Caenorhabditis elegans: one gene and its partners. The protein of the gene in region 2 interacts with the protein of the main gene of each other region in a pairwise test. Each region holds a gene or a part of one and is shown on either strand. Other genes may lie near its edges.

Region 1 (7,891 bases), on a different chromosome or scaffold from region 2:
TTCTTCAACCCTGTTCCAGTGATGAAGCTTGTAGAAGTTGTATCAACTGATGAAACTTCTCCAGAGACCACAAATTTCTTGTTCAACTTCTGCAAAGAAATCAAAAAGCTGCCGGTCGCCGCGAAGGATACTCCTGGATTCATTGTCAACCGGCTATTGATCCCATATCTTATGGACTCCATTCGCATGCTGGAACGTGGAGATGCAACTAAAGAAGATATCGATACAGCCATGCGATTTGGAACTTCTTACCCAATGGGACCAATTGAATTGTGTGACTATGTTGGACTTGATGTTCTGCAGAGCACTTTGAAAAGTGAGATTTACCAACTCCTTTTCTAGGTTTTATTGAACCCTTTCTAATCTTTCAGTCTTCCGCGAAACCATCCCTGGTGACGCCCGTTTTGCACCAATCCCACTTATGGACAAATTGGTCGCTGAAGGAAAGCTTGGCAGAAAAACGAAGCAGGGATTCTACACGTATTGAACACTTTTTGAGCATATTTTTTGTGTACACTACTTGCCAGCTTTTTGATGTATATTTTGCTTCTTACAGGTCATAGTTTCAGAGAAATAAATATTTACATTTGAAGTTTTTGATAATCTAGAATTTTTGTAATAATGTCCATAACATGGAAAATGTCTAAATTGGCACATTGAAGTAATTCCCAAGTTGAAGTAAGTTGTCTCAGGAAAAGTACACTACCGAACTGGTGCAACTCTATATTTACTAAAAATAAATTTCTGGAACAGTTTTTTGGTATTTTTCAAATAAGCTAATATATTTTCTTTGTAATATTCAAGAGCGTATCTATTAAATTTATGTTTTCAAATGTAAATTAGAAATTCTTAAATATTGCCAAAAAATAATTTAAAACAATTTTTTGAAAAACGATTCAAAGATTATTCACAATAAGATTATTGAAAAATATATGATAAGACGTTTGTAAAGTTTAGTTTCAGATCAATAATAAAAATTGTTATATTTTGCTCATGAATTATTTATTTGCTTATAAAAAAATCTTTTAGATAAATTCATCTATAACCTCTCAAATTCTTCTTTCTCTTCTTTTTCCTCCTTCTCTGGTAGTTGTGACAATTTCCTGCCAACCGTTGATAAGCTATTGGTTTTCACCAAGTAATAAATAAAGAACATATGACCACAAGAGACGAACCCGTAAGAAATAAATATACAAATTGCAAAAGTTGCCGGTAATGGGAGAATAATGACTAGAACATCTTTTAAAACGGAGAACGTTTGGCACAACGCGTTGTGCATTCCGAATACTGTATTTCGTTCTCGTTCTGGGATGGTGACTTGCATTATGTGAGTGATAGCCAGATCCAGGCACCACAATCCTGAAAATTGATTATTAAAATTAATTTTTAAAAAATTCCTGATTTTTTTGACATTTCCTAATATGTATTAGTTAAAACTTGAAATTTGACCGGCTTTTCAAGCGGCTGGAAACAATTTTTTTTTTGTAATTACTGTCAAATTTTGAGTACAAAATGTAATTATGTTGCGTTTTCAACTTGAGATTTTTAATTTTTTTAAACCAAAACTTGCCGTCCATCGACTTTAAAATACCTATATGAAGTTAAAACACAAGATAATTACATTGTATACTTAAATTTTGACCATGGTTTCAAAAAAAGATAGTTTCCAGCCGCTTGACAAGTCGGTCAAATTTTCAATTTTAACTAATCTTAGCCCATTTTTTGAGCCGTCATAACTTTTTTTTGAGAATTTTTCAAGGAGTTTCATTATAAAATTAGGAGTTTTCAGACAATTTTGAGCCTGATAAGGTAATAAAAAATTCGACTACACCACCTTAAAAAAAACCCAAACTCACCATATCTTGCGGATGCAATCGCAATCAAGAACACAAAGATGCTGGCCAAACTGACACCATCAGACGAAAAGTGCTTCCAATCAACATGTGGGTCCAAGTTTGTAGCGTTATTCCCGTCGAAAGAGTGAACCATATCGTGCCACCAAGTTCCCATAGTGAAGTTTCCAAAGTATCCACCAAGGTTCATAGGAGATCCCGGGAGGAACACGGATATAACTGCTAGAACCGCAAAAAACTGCTGAACAACCAATCCCAGTAGTCCTGAAGTGGCGACACTGTATCGCTTTTCGAAGAATGCGTAGGAAAACGCTCCAAGGATCGCAGTCACGGATCCATAGGATCTGAATGCTCCGATAACAAATTCCGGAAGCCCTACACTTGAGCCATATCCTACAGCTAATCCATCAAATCCCATCACTGTCATGAATAGAAGACTCATTCCAAATGCAGCTGGGAATGAGATCTGGCACCAGTACGTGTAAACCACAGATTCTTTGAGCCTTGAATTGGCGAATGGGTCTAGCGCTTCATCTTTCTTGTCTTTCTTCACTTGAAGCAGAGGATTGGAGATGTAGATTGCTCTAAGGAAAATGGTTTTTGAAGCCATTGAAACAAGAGAGGCTATACCAAATATTCCAACTGTTTCACGAAGACCAACCCAGGTCACCAGAGCCTTAACTTAGTTTGTTTTTACTTTGGAATTAAAAAGCGAACACAGAACTAACACCAGTTACTAACGGTGCAATAACATTGGTACATTGATCCAATGTCAACAGAGTTGCGTTCATATTCGACAGTGTACCATCATTTCCGAGTACCATAACCCAATCTCTGCCTGTGATGAACTTTTCCGCGTTCAGGAAAAGCCGGTTCACCGCGCATATGCACATTGCTAGAACCAGGCAGACTATGTACCACGGTGACGTGGCATCGATAGACAGACAAGCTTAAAATATTTTAGCTTCGAGTACCTACATCAGTGTCAAATTAGAACTCACTGATAATAAGAGCAGCTGCAGCACAAATACTCAAATTGTTCAACGGTACGACGGTCATGATTGCTGAAATTGAAAACTTGATTTTCTCTTACAAATACTCACGAAATAAGTATTTGATTGTAGTTTTTGTTAGGTCAATGTGATACTTGAACAAATCATTTTTGCAGTAATCGAAATTTGTAAAAATGAATCGTTCACGTGGAGTCAGAACGTCCCATTTTGCTGTGATCTTCGAAAAATGCGAGAGAAGAGACGCAGAGATCTCATCTGATTTTGCATGGTTAAGAGCGTGCTGACGTCACAATTTTTCTGGTAAAATATTCCCATTTGTCGTAGATCGAACCGCAATGAGGCAGGCTGACACCACGGGATCGTTTAGTTGTCTACCGTACCCCGTTTCCTCGAGAGCCCGTCGAAATGCTTTCCTAAATATCCGCTGAGAAACATTTGCAAGACTCCCTCGAAAAGCTGCTCAATGGAAACCACTCTCATACCACCCATCAGGTCCATACAAAGAGAGACACAGAATGACCAAGCCCTGTCTTCCTGTAAATAGTATCGAAAAATTGAATGTTCATGTTTTTCCACATTGAACTAAAAAACAATTTTGAAGTTTATAAAAGTATGCGAATTTCTTTTTTTTTCTTCCTAGTTTTAAATTCCCTCTACACTCACCAAGCATGTCGAAATATAGGCACAATACAAAAATATGCTCGTTTTCGAAAGGGTGCCACTGTTTCGTCGATTATTCGGTTGTTGAAAAGTCATTGTCACAGGAATCAAACTGGAAATCTCTGCACTTCCATCGCCCGCGACACACTTACTGATTTCCATGTTAGCGATAACCTCTATATATTCTGTGATAACGGGCAGGAAGTTCAACAAAGTGTTGGTGCACATACATCATGAATTTTTTCTCTTGTCAATCAAAGATTATTTGAATAGGCCACTCGAGTGCACTGCTCACCGTCTCTTTTTTTTTCATCTTTGCTCGTCTTACCGAACACTTTTTCACGCGATAAATTGTTTGCCGCGCGGCATGAGAAGGCGGAAGATGGTTGGGATAGTTTCAAGCGAGATGGTATATAAGCCCACAATCAAATGGAAATACTCATCCGATACTTTCGGCTCTAATCATGCGCTTCACCTCCCTCGCCATTGCCTTCTTCGCCTGCGCCCTAGTGGTGTCTGTAAGTTGTGCAAGATCTAAAAATTTGAGTCTACGAATATTAATTTTCAGGGCAATGTGCTTCGTGAGAAGAGACAATGCGGATGTGCTCAACCCCAGCAGAGCCAATGCTCGTGCCAACAGGTTCAACAGACTCAATCGTGCTCGTGCCAATCTGCTCCAGTTCAGCAACAATCCCCATCATGCTCTTGCGCTCAACCACAACAAACCCAGAATGTTCAGGTTACTAGCAAACTTATGCTATAGCTCCAAAGAGAGACTTTCAGGTCCAAACCACTCAATGTGCTCCAGCTTGCCAACAGAGCTGCACCCAACAATGCCAGGCTGCACCATCGGTAGCCCAGTGCCAGCCACAATGCCAACAGCAGTGCCAATCCCAGTGCGCTCCAATGTACAATCCACCAGCCACCACCACACCAGCTCCAGTCGTCCAATGCCAGCCAATGTGCCAACAGCAGTGCCAATCCACCTGTGTTCAGCAACAACAACCAGCTTCCCAATGCCAGCCACAATGCCAGCAACAGTGCAACGTTGCCTGCGATGCTCCAGCCACATCCACTCAGGCACCACAAGTAGTCCACATCCAACTCGAGATCCAACAGGCTCAAGCTCAATGCCAACCACAGTGCCAGCAACAGTGTCAATCATCCTGCACCCAACAACAACAGCCAGCTAACCAGTGCAATTCGGCTTGTAACAGCCAGTGCTCCAACATTTGCCAACAAACTGCTCAAGCCACTCAACAGGTCTACAACCAGAACTCTAACACCAACACCCAAATGTACAATCCATACAACAACAACAACCAAGGTTCCGGATCCGCCAACTGCGCCCCAGCCTGCCAGCCAGCCTGTGACAACTCCTGCACTTCTCAGACTCCAGCTCCAATGTACAACCCATACGATGCCAGCACATCCGCCCCAGCATCTTCCCAAGCTGTGATCCAAATCGTTCTCCAATCCTCCGTCGCCCAGTCCTCCCAGTGTACTCCACAATGCGAGCAGTCGTGCCAGCAGCAATGCGTTCAGCAACAACAACCAGCCGCTCAGTGCCAGTCTGCCTGCCAGGACTCGTGCTCCAGCTCCTGCCAAGCCGCTCAGCCAGCGACTACGGCTTGCCAGCAGAGCCCACAAAGCCCACAAAACTCGTGCTCCTGCCAAGCTAACTACTCTCCATGCGGAAATGGACAGTGCTGTAGAAGAAAGTGAACGGACTCTGAACAATGACTTCAAGTTTTTGTATATAATGAAACCAATTAGTTTCACAAGAACTTAATAAACAACTTTGATATTTTAATTGATTTACATTATTTGGTTTTTTATTGTCTAGAAAATGAACAATGACTACAAAACTTATAGCTGGCTCACAGTTTATTGACTAGATTAGCACTAAAAAATAACATGGCCGCTTTTCAAGGAAAGGTTTTTATTTTATTTTATTTTTTAATGTCAGACTTCAAAACGAGACAAGTGCCATTTAAAAGTGTTCCATAAGGATATATTACTACAAAATTTTAAGCGGCAAAGCTCCACTCTCAACCCCTCTAGCATCGATCTGAAACTGTTACAGTGCACTTCTTCACTACTTTGGAGGCCTGTAGAATTGCTCCAAATTTTTTTTGTTGCAAACTTTCAATGTTTTTCAAAACGGTTAAAAGTAGGTAAGCATTCTGGAAAATTTTTGAAAATTTTTAAATTTTTTCAAAAAATCTGAAAAATTTTTGAACCGAGTGGAGTGGATTGAGGAAATTTTTAGATTTTTTTTTCAAAAATTTTTTAAAATTTTTAAAAATTTCCCAGAATGTAAACTTATTTCTAGCCGTTCTAAAAAACATTGAAAATTTGCACAAAAAAAATCAGGACCAATTCTACTGGCCTGAAACAATTTAAGATCGAAATTTTTGGGGTTGAGAGTAGAGCTTTGCCGCTTAAAATTTTGCAGTGACATAGCCTCATGAAACACTTTCAAATGACACATGATGGTTGCATATTACGAAAAAATGTTTCCTATCGATATGTCTCGGTCACCATAGAACCAAGTCTAATGTGAACACGAGACCATAAGAGACATAGAGAGTGAGACGCATTGCATCTTGTGAGTGAAGAGACCTCTGTGCCTCTTTCTCTCTCATCTATCGATTTGCATTTTGACTTGGCTTTATTTTCGGGGTTTTGTGGATTTTTAGAACCTGAGTTTTGTAGCTTATTTGAAATATCATATTTAATATTTAAAGGTGGAGTAGCGCCAGTGGGGGTTTTGTTTAAATGCACTTATAATGATCCAAAACAACCGAATATCATAATAATAATAAAACACTCCAAAAAATTTTAGATTTTTCATAATTTCTGATCAAAGTTTTGGCAAATCGCCAAAATTTTGAAAAATACGAGCTTTTGAGGAAATCCAAGGCAATGTCGCATGTTCACACCCCTACAATGTTTTAATACAAATAATTAAAACAAAATTAAAGTATAAAAAATGTAGGAAAAAATAAGTTTTTTGGTCGAGTTCCAAAATTACGAGTAGCAAAAACTGTGTAATTGCCACTTTTTGACAGTAAATAAAAAATTTTCAAAAATTTTTTGGAAAGTTTTATCATGATATTTGGTCATTTTGGGACTATAGGAGTGGTTTTTAACAATTTCCCCACTGAGGCTACTCCACCTTTAAATTTGAGGAATCAACCCCCACTGCTCTAATATGGAACATCGTGACGACGACTTTGAATTTGGACATCAATTTGGCGGGGACGAGGAGGAGGAGGAAGAGGAAGAAGCGATTGATGTGGATAGTCCAGATGAGTTGGATGTTGACGCCGAACCTGATGACGACTCTGATATGGAAGTCTATCATATGGAGACGAATGGAGCCGCCAATGGAAATGGAAGACAGGTCATTGGAGAAACGGGTGATGAAGAGGAAGATGATGACTATGATGAAGAAGACGCAATGACTTGGGATTCGATGTCAACAATCAGTGAAGTTGAGGTGGAAAAGGATGATGACGAATGGTATCCATTGATGAAGAGAGATAACGTGTTTCCGAACTTTGCATTACCAACTACCACGTGAGTTTTTTCTCTACGGTTTTTCAAAAAATTGATTTCCGGCAAATCGGCAAATCTCAAAATTTACCGAGCTCGGCAAATTCGGCACAATTGCCGTGCTTAACAAATTCCGAAAAATGTTATATTTTTAAATATTTTTTGGAGCACTAAAAGTACTGAATTCTTAACCCGCGTCTTTTTTTTTTGATTAAGTTCCGTGTGAAAAATGTAAAAATGACTCAATTTTGTGTCATTTTACATAATTTTTGGGGAAAAAATCAATAGTGTTGGTCAAAATTGTATTTTTAAATTTTTGATGTATAGAGCAAATTTCAAAATTTGCCATGCTCGGAAAATTCGACCAATTTGCCGCACACCGGCAATTGTCAAAACTTTTCGGCACGTTGTGGTTTTGCACATTTTTTTTGGTAATTTCAGAATTTCAATTTTAATCGGCAAAATTGTAGGCATCCTATGAATGTGCCTATATCTATTTTGAAAAGTAAGAAAATTCTATGAAAATATCAAGAAAAACAGGAATAAAATAGGACCAGTTTTAAGTGCTTCCGTCTTATAAAAAATCGCTTTAAAAACTTCCGGCAAATTGGTAATTTACCGAAAATGATATTTTCCGGCAAATCGGCAAACCGGCAATTTGCCAATTTGCCGAATTTTCTTACGTTTCGATTTTTCTCGTGCCGAGCTTCAGTTCATATCCCTATTTTAACTTTATTAGTATTGCCAAATTTCATATTAAAAATATTAAAAACAAAAAAATAGCCACCCACGATTTTAACTTGA
Region 2 (7,939 bases):
TACTGTAACTTAAAACTTTTGTGGTATTTTTATCGACTTTTCATGGTTTTTATGTCTTCATATCGTTTTTTTTTGATAATTTTTATTAAAAAAACAAATATATTACCTGCTGTGGTGCACGAACAGTTCTTGTTGATGACGTGCTGGCATGATCTTTGCGAGATCTCTCGCTCTTCAGACATCCACGACTTGAAGAGGAACCGTCAGTTTCAGCCCCGGTTTTGTCTGAAAAAAATAAATTATTGATTTTTATTCAATCTGAATGAAAAATTCGAATTCTTACCATCATTATCCAGTGAAACATCAGATTCGTCAGAAGTGTTATCGAAGAGTCGTCGCGCAGGAGCATCTGGCACATTAACGCCATTATTTGCTGGGTTTCCAAAATTTGAAGATGATGGAATGTCTTTGTTCTGTTCTTCCGATTGAGACATGTTGTAGAATGGTGGAAGACGAAGAAGATGATAAGAGTGACAGTTTAATTACTGAAAATGTGCGAAATTTTATATAGTTTTATTTATTTAGGAAACAGATAGTGAAAGTTTGGGAGGAGTTGAACAGTATAAAATAAGAATGACAGGCAGAATGGCTGGGTAAATATTATTCAAATACAAGTATTTTCAAAATTCCGCAAATTTGAACAAGTTTTCATTTAAAAAACACATTTCGAACGGAAAATTTGGGTAAAAGAAAGCTTGGAACATAGTGAAAAAGGACTTTGCGAACAAATAAATTAAAATTTGCTTGATTTCAATTTGTTTTTTTCATTTTTTACAGAAACAACAAATTTCACAGCAGCGTTCTCCTGACTATCACACTTTTTTTTTGAAACAAAAACGAATAAAACAAGCTTGAAATAAAACTTTTGGTACCCAGACGTCTCTGGCCCCAAAAAATTTAAGTTGACGGGTGTCGACAGAGGGAAATGAGTGGCTTTTGGAAGGAGACCTGGGGCCACCAGTCAGCTTCTCGCTTCTTTTTTTTTCTCTAGCACTCTCTCAACTTTACAATACACTCTACGCGCTGCTGCAACTTTTCTGTCAAGTTGTCTGCCGTCTCTTCAGTTGAACTTGGTTTACTTTCGTGGCGAGACACATCAAAGTGACGGCCGACATGTGCCTTTGAGGCTGATGAAATTATTCCCGCAATTTCCAGAAATTTTTGCACTGATTCTGAAATAAAATGACGTTGCAATCTTTAATTTTACTCTTCGTTGTTCAAAAACTTTTCAATTTTATTCTCGTTACAATATTTCACTCTTCATTGACCAAATTTCGCAAATAGAGCGCTTAAATTCAGATTTTAAGTTAAGCATTTAAAATTAATACTCTTTTTTTTTAATAATAATAATAATTTATTACGCTCGCTGGGAGACGTGAAGGAATATAGAATACAAAAGTTATCATTGTTCGCTCGAACTAGAATTGGTGCAGTCGGGCAATCGTTTCCATTCCATTAGAATGTTGTCCTTGTCCTTGCGTTGTCCTTGCGTAGACTCCCCCATAGTGGGCGAGCGATTCCCGAGTGAAAATAATCACGGAATGCCATTTTTAAGCGATGCCATTTTCTATTTCTTGAACTATATATTTTTAAGAATATTTTAATCTGCGCTTTATCATGGATTTTCAATTCAACTTTATATTACTTTTCTAACTTCAATATAAAATTATTTAATAAATATATTTTTATTTTTAAGAAAATGTCCGAGGAGATCAAGCCTTCTGCTCCAGATGCGCCGACTGCTTCGCCAATTGTGACCAGAGACGAGCAAAATTTGGTTGTCTCATTCCTTCAGTTTATCCGCCAGAAGGTTTCACAAAATCAGGCCACTGCCGAGCAAGCGGAAGCTCTTGAAGGTTTTTTCCTATTTATTTCTATAAATTTAGCTTAAGATATATTAAAATTTCAGTTGCAATTCAATGTCTCGAACACTCGTTTGGTCTTGATGATGCCTCATACGCTTTCCAACCATCACGCCCAATTCTCGAACTTTTCAAGAGCGCCGAAGGACTTCCAGAGGGAGAATCTGCTCTTCCAACACCGAGCGATAGTGATATTTCTCAAGCTAACAAGCTTAAAGAAGAAGGAAACGATTTAATGAAAGCCTCCCAATTTGAAGCTGCTGTTCAAAAGTACAATGCCGCCATCAAGCTCAACAGAGATCCAGTCTACTTCTGTAACCGCGCTGCTGCTTATTGCCGCCTGGAACAATATGATTTGGCCATCCAAGATTGTCGTACAGCTCTTGCCCTTGATCCATCTTACTCAAAAGCTTGGGGAAGAATGGGTCTTGCATATTCTTGCCAAAACAGATATGAGCATGCCGCTGAGGCATACAAGAAGGCTTTGGAGCTTGAACCAAATCAAGAGAGTTACAAGAATAATTTGAAAATTGCTGAAGACAAATTGAAGGAGCTGGAAAGCTCGCGACCGGCACCAGGTGCCAATCCATTGGCTGGGCTTTTGGGAGCCATGGGAGGAGGACCGGGAGGAATGCCGGCTATGCCAGGAATGCCAAACATGCAAAACCTTATGAACGAGCCAGGACTTATGCAAGCTGCTTCACAGATGATGAGCGATCCAGCACTTTCTGATATGGTAAGTATCAAATTTTCGGGAATAAAAGATTTAATTGAAATGGCAATGCACGTGGCCGTCAAAATTAATTGTTTTTCATTATTATTGCTTGTTTTTTGATGATGTATGCTCTAAAATATTGAATTTTTCAGTTCAACAACATGATGTCTGGAAATGGATCAATCGCTGATTTGATGGCTGCTGGCCAGCAAATGGCTGCTCGCATGCAAGAGACCAATCCAGAACTTATTGAAAATCTTCGACGCCAATTCGGCCCCGGAGCCGATGGAGGAGCACCACCACCAAACCCACCACAATAGATAATCTCTTCCGCCAATCTCCTTCCGCATCACGAATTTCCATTTCGTTATCTCTCTCTCTCTCTCTTTCCCCTTCTCTCGTCTTTACTTTCTGCTCTCATGTGATTTGAAAAAGCCGAAGTCGCTTATGGTTACTCGTTTTTTTTAGTTTCTCTCGCAGAATTTCCCCTTACAATGATGATGTTATAATCGCCCCCGATTCAAGCCTTATCGAAATATTGTTTTTAATTAGATGGTCATGTTTTAACTACCAACAAAAAATTGGGTCAATTTTCTTTTTTTTCACGAATAATAAATATTGTCGAAATATTCTTTCCATCACAGACACACTGGTTGCAAACGCGCTCCAACACGAAATTATCGATTTGCACCCAAACGAAAGATAGCGCGGGAGTACTCACATTTTCTTTATTTTTGATTTTTTTGTTGAAATATTTTAGTATTAAATTAAACAATTTAAATTGTAAAAAACCTCAAATTTGAAAATAAATTCAGAATGCAACGCCACGAAAGGATTCGATTTTTCATAACTGAACAATGTCGTAATCTGGATCCAACGTATAGAAATTATGTAGGAATTTAATTTTCTGTCAATCTAAATTCTTTTAAAAGTTATTTTCAGATGTACCCGAAACAAATTCTTCTCGGTGACGTTCCTCTACCACTTCTCCCTAATTCTTCACTGACGTTTCGAGTCAATTCAGCTGTAAGTAGAAAATTTATTGCGTGACGAGCATTATTGTGTTTTAAAAACTCTAAAAATGATCAAATAAATTTAATTTTTTTTAGGAAAAAATCTGCTTCCGTATTCGACTTTCGATTGATGACAGCCAGGAACCATTGAATATTGGAATTCCATTATCACAAGTTGAAAGTGTTTCAATTAAAGATCATAGTGCGAAACATCCAGAACCTGCTCTTCTTTTTTTACTTAAGAAAGGAGCTTTAGAGAGATTTATTCAGGTACACTATAATTTTTTCGATTTTCGCACGACAAATTTTTGTAAAATGAAAGAAGGTGTGCGCCTTTGAAAAGAGTACTGTAATTTCAAATTCTCGTTTATGCAGAATTTTTATCGATTTCCATAGATTTTCACTAACAACTTGTGTTTGAAAAAACACATGAACTCGTCAATTCACTGCAAAAAAATTCGAAAAAATTGAAGATTCCGTAGCAACGAAAGTTTGAAGTTACAGTATTATTTAAAGGCGCACACCAGTTTTCACTTAACGGACAATTTTCGTGTCGAGACCAGACCCCGTATAAAACGAATTATTTCAGGTCTGTAATCCACTATTGGGCGAACTTCACACATATCATGGACGAAAACGTAAAATGCTGACATATCTAACAGTAATTCTCGGAATGGATCCACACTTGGAGCAACCGAATCCAGTTTATTGCCGTGTTTCATTAATGGCTAACAAATTCACATTCCCATTTGGAACAGCGAAGAAAATTTTATTAAAAGATGTGAGTTTTGATTTACCGCGTTTTCTAAAAAAAACACCAACAAAAACGTTTTTTCCCGGGGAAAAAAGACGAAAAATGAGTTTTATTCATCTGAAAATACATGAAAAATTAGATTTTTTAAATTAAAGATTTCCCAAAAAAATTATCAGAAAATTTCCAATTTTTCCATAAGAAAACGCAAAGATGTATATTTTTCAACTAAAATATTGCGATTTTTCCAAGAAAAAAAACTATTAAAAATAAATACAATCCAATTTTCCAGTTACCAATAATGTGGCAAGAAGTCTTGGATAAACAATACGATCGTCGTCTGAAAACTGGAATTCATCATGATAGAGAACGAATGGCAGAGATGGATGATGAAGCATGGGATTGGCTTATGTCATTTCTAAATGTTAAATGGGACAAATGTCCCAGTGGTGGACGTTGGTTCGTTAGAGATAAGGATGGTACGTTTTTTTTTTGCTCCGAAAACATTAATAGCCAGTTGTGAAATTCGGTGATTTCGAATAAAAATACGGTACTCGGTCTCAACACGACTAGAACTTAAAAGCTACCGTACCCAGAAGTATTTTGCAATTTCCTAAAATGTGGCAATATTAATTTTTTCATAGAAATACCAAGTTTTTTTAGCACTATAAATCTTGAAAAATTTAAGGAAAAATTGTGGAATACTTGTGAGTTTTGTAGCTGCAAAGTTTCTTGAAAATCGAAAAATTAAAACTACCATAACTACAATGCAATCTAATTTCAGAACTCGAAACTTCAGTCAACGAGCATAATGAGTAAGTTTCCTATATTTTACAACTAAAATTAACTCTGAATTTCCAGAAATCTTGCAATCAAACGAGAAGCTTCACCACAAGATGATCTACTGGCTAAACCAATGAAGCAAATAAAATATTCCGATTCAGATGTTGGTTCTCCAAATTCTATATCTTCGGAATCTTCAGCTTCTATTATGACACGATAAAACACTCGTTTAAAAATCATTTGTTTTCAACCCCGCTAGAACACTTTTTACTATCAGTTTTCCATCTAATTCTTCACCAAAAAATCAAAAATCGATACTCACAGCTGCTCCTTTACAATTTCAGCCGTTGAGTTCTCATCATGACTGGAAATGTATCATTTGGCTGAGTCTATTCAGCGACATTAACCATTTCAACTTTTTTGGCATCAAATGTTTTATAATTTTATTCTTATTTTACTGCACTTTATTGTCATTAATGGCTCAATAAAAATGTTAATAATCAAGTTTTAAACACTGAGACATGCCAGGAGTAAACATTTTCAGATACAGTACCCACAAGAACGGTAGACTCGAAATTTGAATTTTTCAGAGGAAAACAGTAGTTTCACGAGCTGAAAACAAATTTTTTGTGTTGATAAAAGTCCAAAAGCATTTCTGTTCAGAAATTAATTCCAAAATTAATTTATCGTAGACTCAGAATCCGTTGTAGGAGTCTATGACTCCAGGCTCGTCTCTCGGACTCTGAATATCAAAAGACGAAGTGAAGAAGCTTATTGAGATGGAGGAGAAGCCGAAGGAACTTTGGAAGAACTCGTTTTGGCAATTTGCATTTCTATTAACTATTGAATAAATGATTATATGTACATAATATCAACTAGGACCCTTTGGGTCCTGCAAATCATATGGGCCTTCAAATGGCCTGAAATGCCGTATGGGACCATATTTAGCTTAAAAGCTGAAAGGTTCAATACAGAAAAAACAAGGAGATTTCGATTTATTGCACAAGAAGTCTATTAAAAACAAATTGAACTTTCTTATTAAGCCTTCTAAAGGTTGTATTCGATTTGGAGATCCACACAAGCTCCTTTAGGGACCAAAATTTAAAAGCTGAAAAGTTTAAGACACAAAAAACTGAACTTTCAAATTTCATTTATTGAACGTATTGCAAGTTCACAGATCCTATGGGTTGTACTCAATTGGGAGGTTCTTGCGACGGACCATACCGTCTCCTTGGAACCATTCCCGACGGAATTGCTTAGCAGCACCATCCGGGGTGTTGGTCCACTCAACAGTGATACGATCGTTGTTAGTGTCCTCCTGTCCAAAAGCGAAGGCATCGCAGGAAACTGCCAGAAGAACAGCTTCCTTTGGATCGAGCACTCCACATGGTGGATCAACTCCAAGTCTCTTCATATTGGTGGTCTTGATACCGTATCCAATACGGCGAGCCGAGGAGTTAATCACCTTGATGTGGTAGGTGTGCTTGTCGTCGTATGGTGCATTGAAGACGATCTTCGTACCCGGCTGGGTCTGGATCATACCTGTGCGGCATTCGGAATTTTTCGGCATAACGGCATAACGGCATATGCCGCCAAAAATTTTTTTCGGCATATCGGCATATGCCGATATGCCGTCCATTTTTCTTTTCGGCAAAACGGCATTTTCGGCATATGCCGTGAATTTTGAAATCGGCATTTCGGCATATGCCGCGCTCCAAAAACCAGCATTATGCCGGCATTCGGCATTCGGCATTTCGGCATTTTTAATTTAATTTAATTTAATTTATTACGATAGTAAAATATCGTGAGGTAGAAAAAAAAACACACATTAATAGATACAAACCATCACAAGTGGTTACATAAATAAATTACACAAATAAAACGAAACAAAAATAAAAAGAGATGAGAAGAAAATGATGGCTACATTGGAGAAGAAGCAAAAACAGAAATATCGATGTATAAATGGCAAGAATAAATGATGGATAGAAGTGAGGATAAGGTAACATTAGATCAGTGTTGCTTCATTGTGGGTAGTGTTCTGTTAACAAAAAAGTGTCTCCTAAGTTTAGATTTTCCTGTGCTCCAGATATATTTCTTTTTAGAACGAGTGTGGGTCTCTTGTTGCTCAAAAAACTCAGATGTTTTTAAGTCTACTTTACCAGTATTCATTCTGATTATTTGGATTCTGTCAATTATTTTACGTCTCGTGCTTAAGGTTTGGAAGTCGAATAGTTCGTTACGTTCCATGGCAGTTTTGTAATCTTTATCAGTTGGATTAATATATCTTTTTTTGATTCTACTATAAAGGCGCCTAGTGAATGCGTTTTGTACAGACTCTATTGCTTTCTCATCCGATTTTTTTGTCGGAGAAGACACTACTGTTCCATATTCTAAACGAGGGCGGATGAAAGTTTTGAATAAGAGAATCATTAGTTTCTTATTGGAGGTACTGTACTGGTTGAACATGTTGGCCAGTTGAAATTTAGCTAGATTGATACATTTCCTCCAATGCTCAGAGAAATCCAGCTTTTCAGAGATTAAAAATCCAAGGTCTCGGGTAATAGCTTTTCGCTCAATAGGGTAACCGTCTAGGTGGTATTTGAAATCTATTCTACGTTTTCCTACTGTGACGTGAACTGTCTTAGATTGGTTTAGAGTGAGTTTTGATCCCCTTGTCCAATCTACTACAGCATCTAGAGCAGACTGTAAATTGTTTTCGCTTTCAGTCTTAGGGGTCGATACATACAATTTCGTGTCATCTGCAAACTGCTTACATGCTACTTTTTCGGGTAATATTGATGATATATCATTAACA
Region 3 (7,252 bases), on a different chromosome or scaffold from region 2:
GTACCGAATATTCTCCTAATCAGTTTAATAAGTCAATGGTGGAAAGGTTTAGTGTCAATAATGGCAATAATGCCTTATCGAGTTGGTATTCTGTTTGATAACTCGGAGTCTATATTAGTATATTAGTTGGTGGACCGCCGAGCTATCAGATGTGGTTCAAGCAAGTAGTTCTTCCACTTTATACATACCAGAAAATAACAAAGGTACATCCCATGCATTCTTCTTAACCAAGTAATTGCTCTTGCAGATCGGTCCACAACTCCCCCGGCTCCGTAGTCTTGCGTTATGCGGCTTGAAGTTCTATAAAACAGAATTCTCCAAGCTGTGCCCGAGTTTTATGAATTTGTATTGCTTAGATATCAGCTACACCAATGTTTCAAATCTTCAAGGGATCTCTAATTTGCAAAATCTCAGACAGCTCTCACTTCGAGGCTTGGAGTTTAAGAGAACACAAGATCTCGAGGAGCTCTTCACTTTAAAACATCTTAAGGTGTTGGATATGTCAAGCAAGTTGTAAGTTTTTGGATTTTCTTGGATTTTAAGATTTTGAAAGTTTCAAAAAATTGTTATTTGCAGAAACAACGCCCACTAGACCAACATAAGAGCCTTCTTAAACTGCAACAAGGTTCTTCCGGATTTCCTACCAAGGAATACTGAAATGATTTTGAAATGATTTCGAAATTTCCACTCTTTAAGATTAAAGTAAAACCTTCCAAAATATGTCCTTCTGGAGCCAGCCATGGCTCACCGGACTTTCTAAAAAGAATTACAAGTTTTTTTTAAAAATAAAGCTCCTCAAACTATGTATGATCCCATTGAAACAGTTTTTCTATGATTTTTGATTGTTTTATTTAATTATAGGGGACAGTGATAGATTCGGAGATTAACTTTCAATTAAAAAATTTTTTTATTAAAAATCGTTTTGAAATGGTAAAATGTTTATTTTTCTACAATTTTTGTCAATCCAAACCTTTTCGCATATTTCAGCGTCTTCCGTGTTTTCTTTTCCAATCATCTTTTTGAATTGATTCAAGTTGAACACTTGTAACCAAATTGACCATAATTTGCATATGGTTGTTCTTTTCATACGACTTCTTCATCTAATTCAGCAGGTTTTACCTCATTTCCACTAGCAGATATGAACGTTGAACACTTTTTCAGTACCGGTCGGTGCACTCATGTGTACATATCAAATGTCAAATAAAAATTCAGTATCTAGCTATAGCTATAGTTGAAAGCTTTGTTTCAAAAATTTAAGTTAGAATGTGAGTTTTAAATATTACTTTAGCATATTCTGGCATTGTATCTCAACATGCTTGATATGATTTTTTAATGATCTGTTACTGGAGAATCAAATTGATATCAATAGGAATGGTATATTTTTAACTATATACAACCGTATTGCTTATTTAGCTGCTCATCCCAAGCTAAAAATCGACTATTCAAACAAATACCTATATGGAAAAAACCATTCATATAGTAACTGTAGAGCTATAAAAGATTAGCGAATTTAATAAATTTCCGAGCTGAATTTAAAAATGCTCTTTTATCTCCTCTCTGCTATAATCTTCACCACTGTAGCTTCTGCTGCACTTACTTCTGCTCCTGCTCTAACAGTACATGAAGCGGGGGGAGCGGTTTTCCAAAATTTAACTGAAAAAGCTCTATTTGACTATTTCCAAATCGGTTTCGATCAGACATTGACTATTGCCGAGAGGGACCAAAAGAGCGCTGAATGGGCGGAGAAGCACGGAATTGCTGTAAGTTTACAAAAAAAAACTCCGATTTTGCTAAATGAAAAAAATCTCACCTCTTTCTTGAAATGAAAGTTAGTATATCTCTCAACATTTTTTGCTCAATCTGCAGCAAAGTTTCAAAAATATTTAGGACTAAAAATCTAGGTTCGAAAAATTTTACCCGGTTCGCCATTATTCGGTAAACAGGGCCGTATATATAATATATAACAAAACTTTCATCTTCCAGGACAAATGGGCTGTATTCTATTCAACGTGGCAAGCCAGAGAGGAAAAGTTTAACAAAATAAAAACCACTGTATTCGAAAGACTCCCATCAACTTACAAAAAGCTTTCTGAGATCATTGCCAACAAAAATCAAACCCTTTCTCAAGTTGGAACCGCAATTCAAGAACTCGACGAAAAGTTCAACTTGGAAGTACAACTCATCTTTATTCTGTCGAAAATTCTCAGACTAAATGAGAAAATTGTGATGAACGGTGGACTGAATGAAGTTGGAAATGAGGCTACTGAAAATTCGTTCAGAAGAATGAGGGATTTTGAGGGAAGAAGCATGGATGTGAAAGCTCTCATGATTCCAGGACCACTATAAGCTATAACTTTTTTTGGAAACATTTTAATGTTTGTATATTTGGAAATAAACTATTTACTTGAAGTCTTATATTAACACTGTTAAAAACCAGAAAATGTCGAAAAACCAAACAATAATAAAGGAGAAAAAGTAAGAAAAAGTTTAAAAACTTCACGGGACAAGACGAAAAATTCAAATTTTGGTAGCAACTATTCAAGAACTTGAAAAAACCAATTGTAAAACCACTCGAGAGGTTTGCGGCAAATGTTCCAAATTTAACGGTGGGCAAACTCGGCGAATTTTGAAATTTTCTGCACATCTGAAAATGTTGTTTTATTGATATTTTGTCTAAACCAGATGGTTTCAATTAAAAAATTTGAATAAAATCACCTAAAACCGTGTATGTTTTTTCGTCAATAATTTATTCAAGAAATCCCTTTATGCAAAAATTTAATAACTCGTGCTAAGTTTTTTCGTCCATTTTTCCACTTTTCCGGCTGAAAAGTCAGTGAAAAAATATCGCAATTTATCGAGTTTGGCGACCACGGCAGATTTTCCAAATTTGCCGTTATCGGCACTAAAAATGTATTTTGTCAATTACGATAATAACGTGCATCACTGCCATTAAAGTTTTCACTTCTCGTAATGTGCACGAAAAAATCCTAGAATTTAAAAGTTGACTCTTTGAAAAACATTGCTCCGAGTATGTTGTAGGGAAAATTCGGACAACCACGACTCCATCTGTAATGTAATCGAAAATCGATAAATAATTCAGATTTTATTTACAATTAGATAAAAAGTTGATACATCAGAAAACATGAACATTTATCACAATTCATTGGAAGTTTAATTACAGTTTCTTCTCAATTTTTATTAAAGTCTCCCAGATATCATTCAAAATAAATAATTCGTTTCTGTATTTTTTCTCCAGTTCCATCGAGTTTGCAACAAATTCATGAAATGTTTGATTTTTGTTGAGACTTATGTCTGTCAGTGCTTTGAAAATGATCGGCAGTCTTTCAAGCAGTTCATTCATATTTTTCATTTTTTTCAGCTAGTCAGTCGTCGTTTAATATCATCTGATCCCATTTGTCCTAAAAACGGTTTCTGTTTAATGAAATAATATTTGAACATCTGACCTTGCATCTATTTGTCAATTGTATCTGATATACAAGATTATTAATAGAATCCTTTTTTTTTAATTTACATTTTTCAAAAGAGGACAAAAAGGAGGGGTTTTTCCAAGTTAAAAAATTAGTATAGGTTACTGAAGAAAAAGTGATAATATTCATCAATTGAGAGATCTGAGAGATACTGAGGGCCTATAAAAGCCCGGCAAGGTTGGAGCCCGGCAAGGTTGGCTTCGAAAAGAAAACCCGAGAAAAAATATAAACTAAGCTTTAGCTGTACCAAAAAGCCTGACCGAGAATGAATCGATTCGAAAATCACGCATTGTTGCTTGTTTAGCTGCTCAGCTAAAAATGGGCTTTTCAAACAAATCCTTATATGGAAATGGTCATTCATATAGTTACTGAGAGCCTATAAAAGCCCGGCAAATTTATAAAATTTCCAAGCAGAATTCAAAAATGCTCTTTTATCTCATCTCTGCTATAATCTTCACCACTGTAGCTTTTGCTGCACCTACTCCTGCTCCTACTCTAACTGTTGCTGAGGAGATGGAGGCAATTTTTCAAAATTTGACGGAAGAAGCTCAAAATGATTATTTCCAAATTCTCTTCGATCACACATTGACCCTTGCCGAGTTGGACCAAAAGTGGGACGAGTGGGCGGAGAAGCACGGAATTGCTGTAAGTTCCCAGAAAACTAGACTGCACTGTGAGCCTTGTAAAATTAAATTTGGGCTTTTCTCAAGTTTCAGTATATAATCCCAATCTAATTCAATAAAATAACTTAACCATTAAAGTTCCATTTTCTAGGACAAATGGGCTGTATACACTTCCAAATGGCAAGCCAGAAAAGAAAAGTTCAATGAGACCACAGTCTCTGTGATTGAAAGACTTCCATCAACTTACAAAATGCTTTCTGAGATCACCGCCAACAGAAATCAAACTCTTTCTCAAGTTGAAACCGCTTTGGAAGAACTCAAGGAAAAATTTAATTTGGAAGTTCAACTTATCCTTATTCTGTCAAAAACTCTCATTCTCAATGAGGAAATTGTGTTGGGCGGTGGACCGATTGAAGTTGGAAATGAGGTCACTGGAAACTCGTTCAGAAGAATGAGAGATTTCAAGAATAAAAATAGAGATGTGAAATCTCTCCTGATTCCAGGACCACTTTAAACAACTGCTTTCACGTTTTTTTGTTGGACTTTTACACTTTTTGTATATGTGGGAATAAATTATAATTTCTAATACACAGTATGAATTATGATTGTTTATTAAAATCAGATATCAAAGTTCAAACATATAAAAATAGTCAAATATTTCTGTAAAATACTGTTTGGAAGGCACAAGGTTGACTAATTCTATTCGAGGCAACCTACGTACCTATTGTTAAAACATAATTTTTATAATACAGAGCAACAGACATGTGCAGGTCAGGTTTGCAGGCAAGGTAGACCTACCTGTTTACTTTGGTAATCTTGCAAAAACAATGTACCAATATTCGAGCACTTTGGCTTATAAATTTTCGCTGATGGACTGCATAACTTTTATTTTAAAAAAACGAAAAAACTGTTTAATACGTCGATGGCAGTATACTTCCGTTTATGCTTTGAAATTATTGTGGAATATTAAAAGTAAGAGTAGCTTTGCCATTGCTAATGACGTATTGAGTTACATCTTCGCCGTAGAACGTGAGTGGAAGTTGCGAATTGATTGTTGAACCACTGAAAAGAACATAACATTTAGGAACTGTAAACCTTGCTAGCAGACGTACTTGTATGTTGAATCAAAGCCGAACGCAGTTTCAGATCCGTAGTAGACTTTCATTGTTGCACTCTGAAATTACGAGTTTAAAAATTAAAAATGATTTTAAAGGCATACCGGGTCCATTTTAATATCAACCAAAGTTTCGTTGCTTCGGGAGGCATATAAAGAAAGAACGGCAGATTTTCCATCACCACCATCAACAGAAGCGGAACATGTTGACACGCCGTAACAGTTAAGTTCGACGTAGTCAACAAAGTTTGCATCTGAAAACTTTAGATATAAAAAAAAGAGAAAAACGCCAAGAGTATCATACATTGTATATCTTGAACTAACAGAATGTCGGTTTTGTTGCTGGCCTCCAAGTTTACGATATAGACCATGCTGCCTTTAGAAACCCATTGCTGGTGCGTTTCATAGAGCGTGTACAAGCTGAAAATTGATTTTTTTTTTCTCAACATTTTTGTTTAAAAAAACTCACTTTGCAACAAAGTTTCCATTGTAATCTTGTCCCTCAAAAACAAGAGAGCTTCTCAGGGAATAATAGTCATTTGGATCGGCTGGAGAGACGAAAAGAGCAACTTTGTCTGAACTGAAATCGGCCGCAAACAGATCCTGTGTGATATTAAGGACATGTGGCTGCATTCCAATTCCGGCGATGTATGATATTTGGGTGGTATCTGGAATCTATTAAGGTTAAACATAAGATCACCCAGAGGGCATAAGAATTTGGGTGCGAAACCTCGGTGGGTTTTTACCACTTCTAAGGCGCTTTTTTGCGGATTGGTTACTTCCGGAACGACCGAATATCATATTAAAATACTCCAAAAAATTTTAGATTTTTCATAATTCCCGGTCAGTTTTGGCAGATTGCCAAAGTTTTGAAAAACATAAGTTTTTAAGGAAATCCAAAGCAGTATTGTATGTACCGACCCCTACAATGTTTCGATACAAATAATTTTTAAAAAATTACAGTATAAAAATGTAGGGAAAAAAAGTTGTTTTTGGTCGACTTCCGAAATTATGAAGGGTAAAAACTGGATAATTTTCACTTTTTGACAGTAAATAAACATTTTTCAAAAAACTTTTGAAAACTTTTATTGTGATATTCGGTCATTTTAGCACCATAGGAGTGGTTTTTATAACTTTCCCCACTGGCGCTGCTCCACCTCAATCAAAATTTGCCTGTTTTAAATTTTTTAGGGTAACCCCCAAATACTATTAAAACTTCCAAACTTACACGGAGCCCATTCAATTTTAAATGCAAACGTGGCAGCTGCTTCATTCGACACAACTAGAGTGAACTTTGGCGATGGGAAGTAATATGGATGCTTTGTCTCCAATTTTGTTCTGAAAACTTAATTTTCTCATATTCACAAACCGGGAAACCCCTTACTGAACAACGTTTCCAGTGCAGTCAACAGTTTGGAAGTATGAATGCTTATCACCCATTTTTCCACTAATCGTCAATTTTGCATAGTATCCTTGGGGAATAGTGACCATCCAGCTACACGATTGGTCCTTGGCAAGAGCCGGTGCCGCTTTGTCTTCTCTCCATGTAGCTGGAAAGTATACAGGCGTTCCATCGATTACTGGCTTGTGAACCACATTTCCAGTCTTGCAAGCTGGAAAAAAATGGATTTTTGAAAAAAAAGTCTGAAAATGAAGATCCTACTATTGCCAACAGCAGACACTACAGAAGCCAGGAGAGCTACAGATAGGAAAGTCGTAAGACTCGGCATTTCAAAGGACGGTGCAGCAGTACTTAATCGCGGCGGTTAAATACACAGACACATGATGATATTTAGAAGGGCGTGAAATTGATAAAGCAATCGGGAAATAGGAAATTGAATCTTAAAATCAGCACTTTTGGCTCCATAATGTCTCTGATAAGTTTTATTGGTTGAGGACTCAAGTTTAAAATTGCACATAGACAAGTGCGAAGATCAAACTAAATTTCAGCAGGAAGCATCCACTGCTCGTCTAGTCGAAAAATTATATTTCTGTTACGGATTATCTTGAAATGATCCTAGCGGCAG

The links. Proteins that work in one complex are often made in the same cells at the same time.
Region 1: the proteins of sgt-1 (region 2) and pqn-54 interact in a two-hybrid assay, tested with the Caenorhabditis elegans proteins (2 studies listed by BioGRID).
Region 3: the proteins of sgt-1 (region 2) and srlf-4 interact in a two-hybrid assay, tested with the Caenorhabditis elegans proteins (2 studies listed by BioGRID).

The regions. Positions count from the first base shown.
Region 1 is NC_003283.11:1,461,024-1,468,914, forward strand, and holds pqn-54 (Prion-like-(Q/N-rich)-domain-bearing protein), read left to right. Parts: upstream 1-3,966; 5' UTR 3,967-3,990; coding exon 3,991-4,044; intron 4,045-4,094; coding exon 4,095-4,265; intron 4,266-4,309; coding exon 4,310-5,251; 3' UTR 5,252-5,337; downstream 5,338-7,891. Other genes in the region: hacd-1 (3-hydroxyacyl-CoA dehydrogenase), read left to right, coding at 1-316, 372-487; fpn-1.2 (Solute carrier family 40 member), read right to left, coding at 1,040-1,359, 1,857-2,529, 2,582-2,802, 2,855-2,917, 3,247-3,400, 3,530-3,622; gid-8 (CTLH domain-containing protein), read left to right, coding at 6,744-7,111.
Region 2 is NC_003280.10:4,897,554-4,905,492, reverse strand, and holds sgt-1 (SGTA homodimerization domain-containing protein), read left to right. Parts: upstream 1-1,696; 5' UTR 1,697-1,699; coding exon 1,700-1,856; intron 1,857-1,909; coding exon 1,910-2,598; intron 2,599-2,729; coding exon 2,730-2,897; 3' UTR 2,898-3,205; downstream 3,206-7,939. Other genes in the region: btbd-10 (BTB domain-containing protein), read right to left, coding at 107-225, 284-434; R05F9.9 (MSP domain-containing protein), read left to right, coding at 3,394-3,468, 3,520-3,603, 3,687-3,860, 4,180-4,371, 4,634-4,820, 5,126-5,156, 5,203-5,344; msp-32 (Major sperm protein 32), read right to left, coding at 6,305-6,664.
Region 3 is NC_003282.8:12,921,023-12,928,274, reverse strand, and holds srlf-4 (SXP/RAL-2 family protein Ani s 5-like cation-binding domain-containing protein), read left to right. Parts: upstream 1-3,842; 5' UTR 3,843-3,911; coding exon 3,912-4,133; intron 4,134-4,262; coding exon 4,263-4,625; 3' UTR 4,626-4,698; downstream 4,699-7,252. Other genes in the region: srlf-5 (SXP/RAL-2 family protein Ani s 5-like cation-binding domain-containing protein), read left to right, coding at 1,539-1,760, 1,984-2,346; C32H11.4 (CUB-like domain-containing protein), read right to left, coding at 5,065-5,173, 5,224-5,285, 5,331-5,479, 5,530-5,645, 5,695-5,893, 6,454-6,563, 6,610-6,838, 6,889-6,955.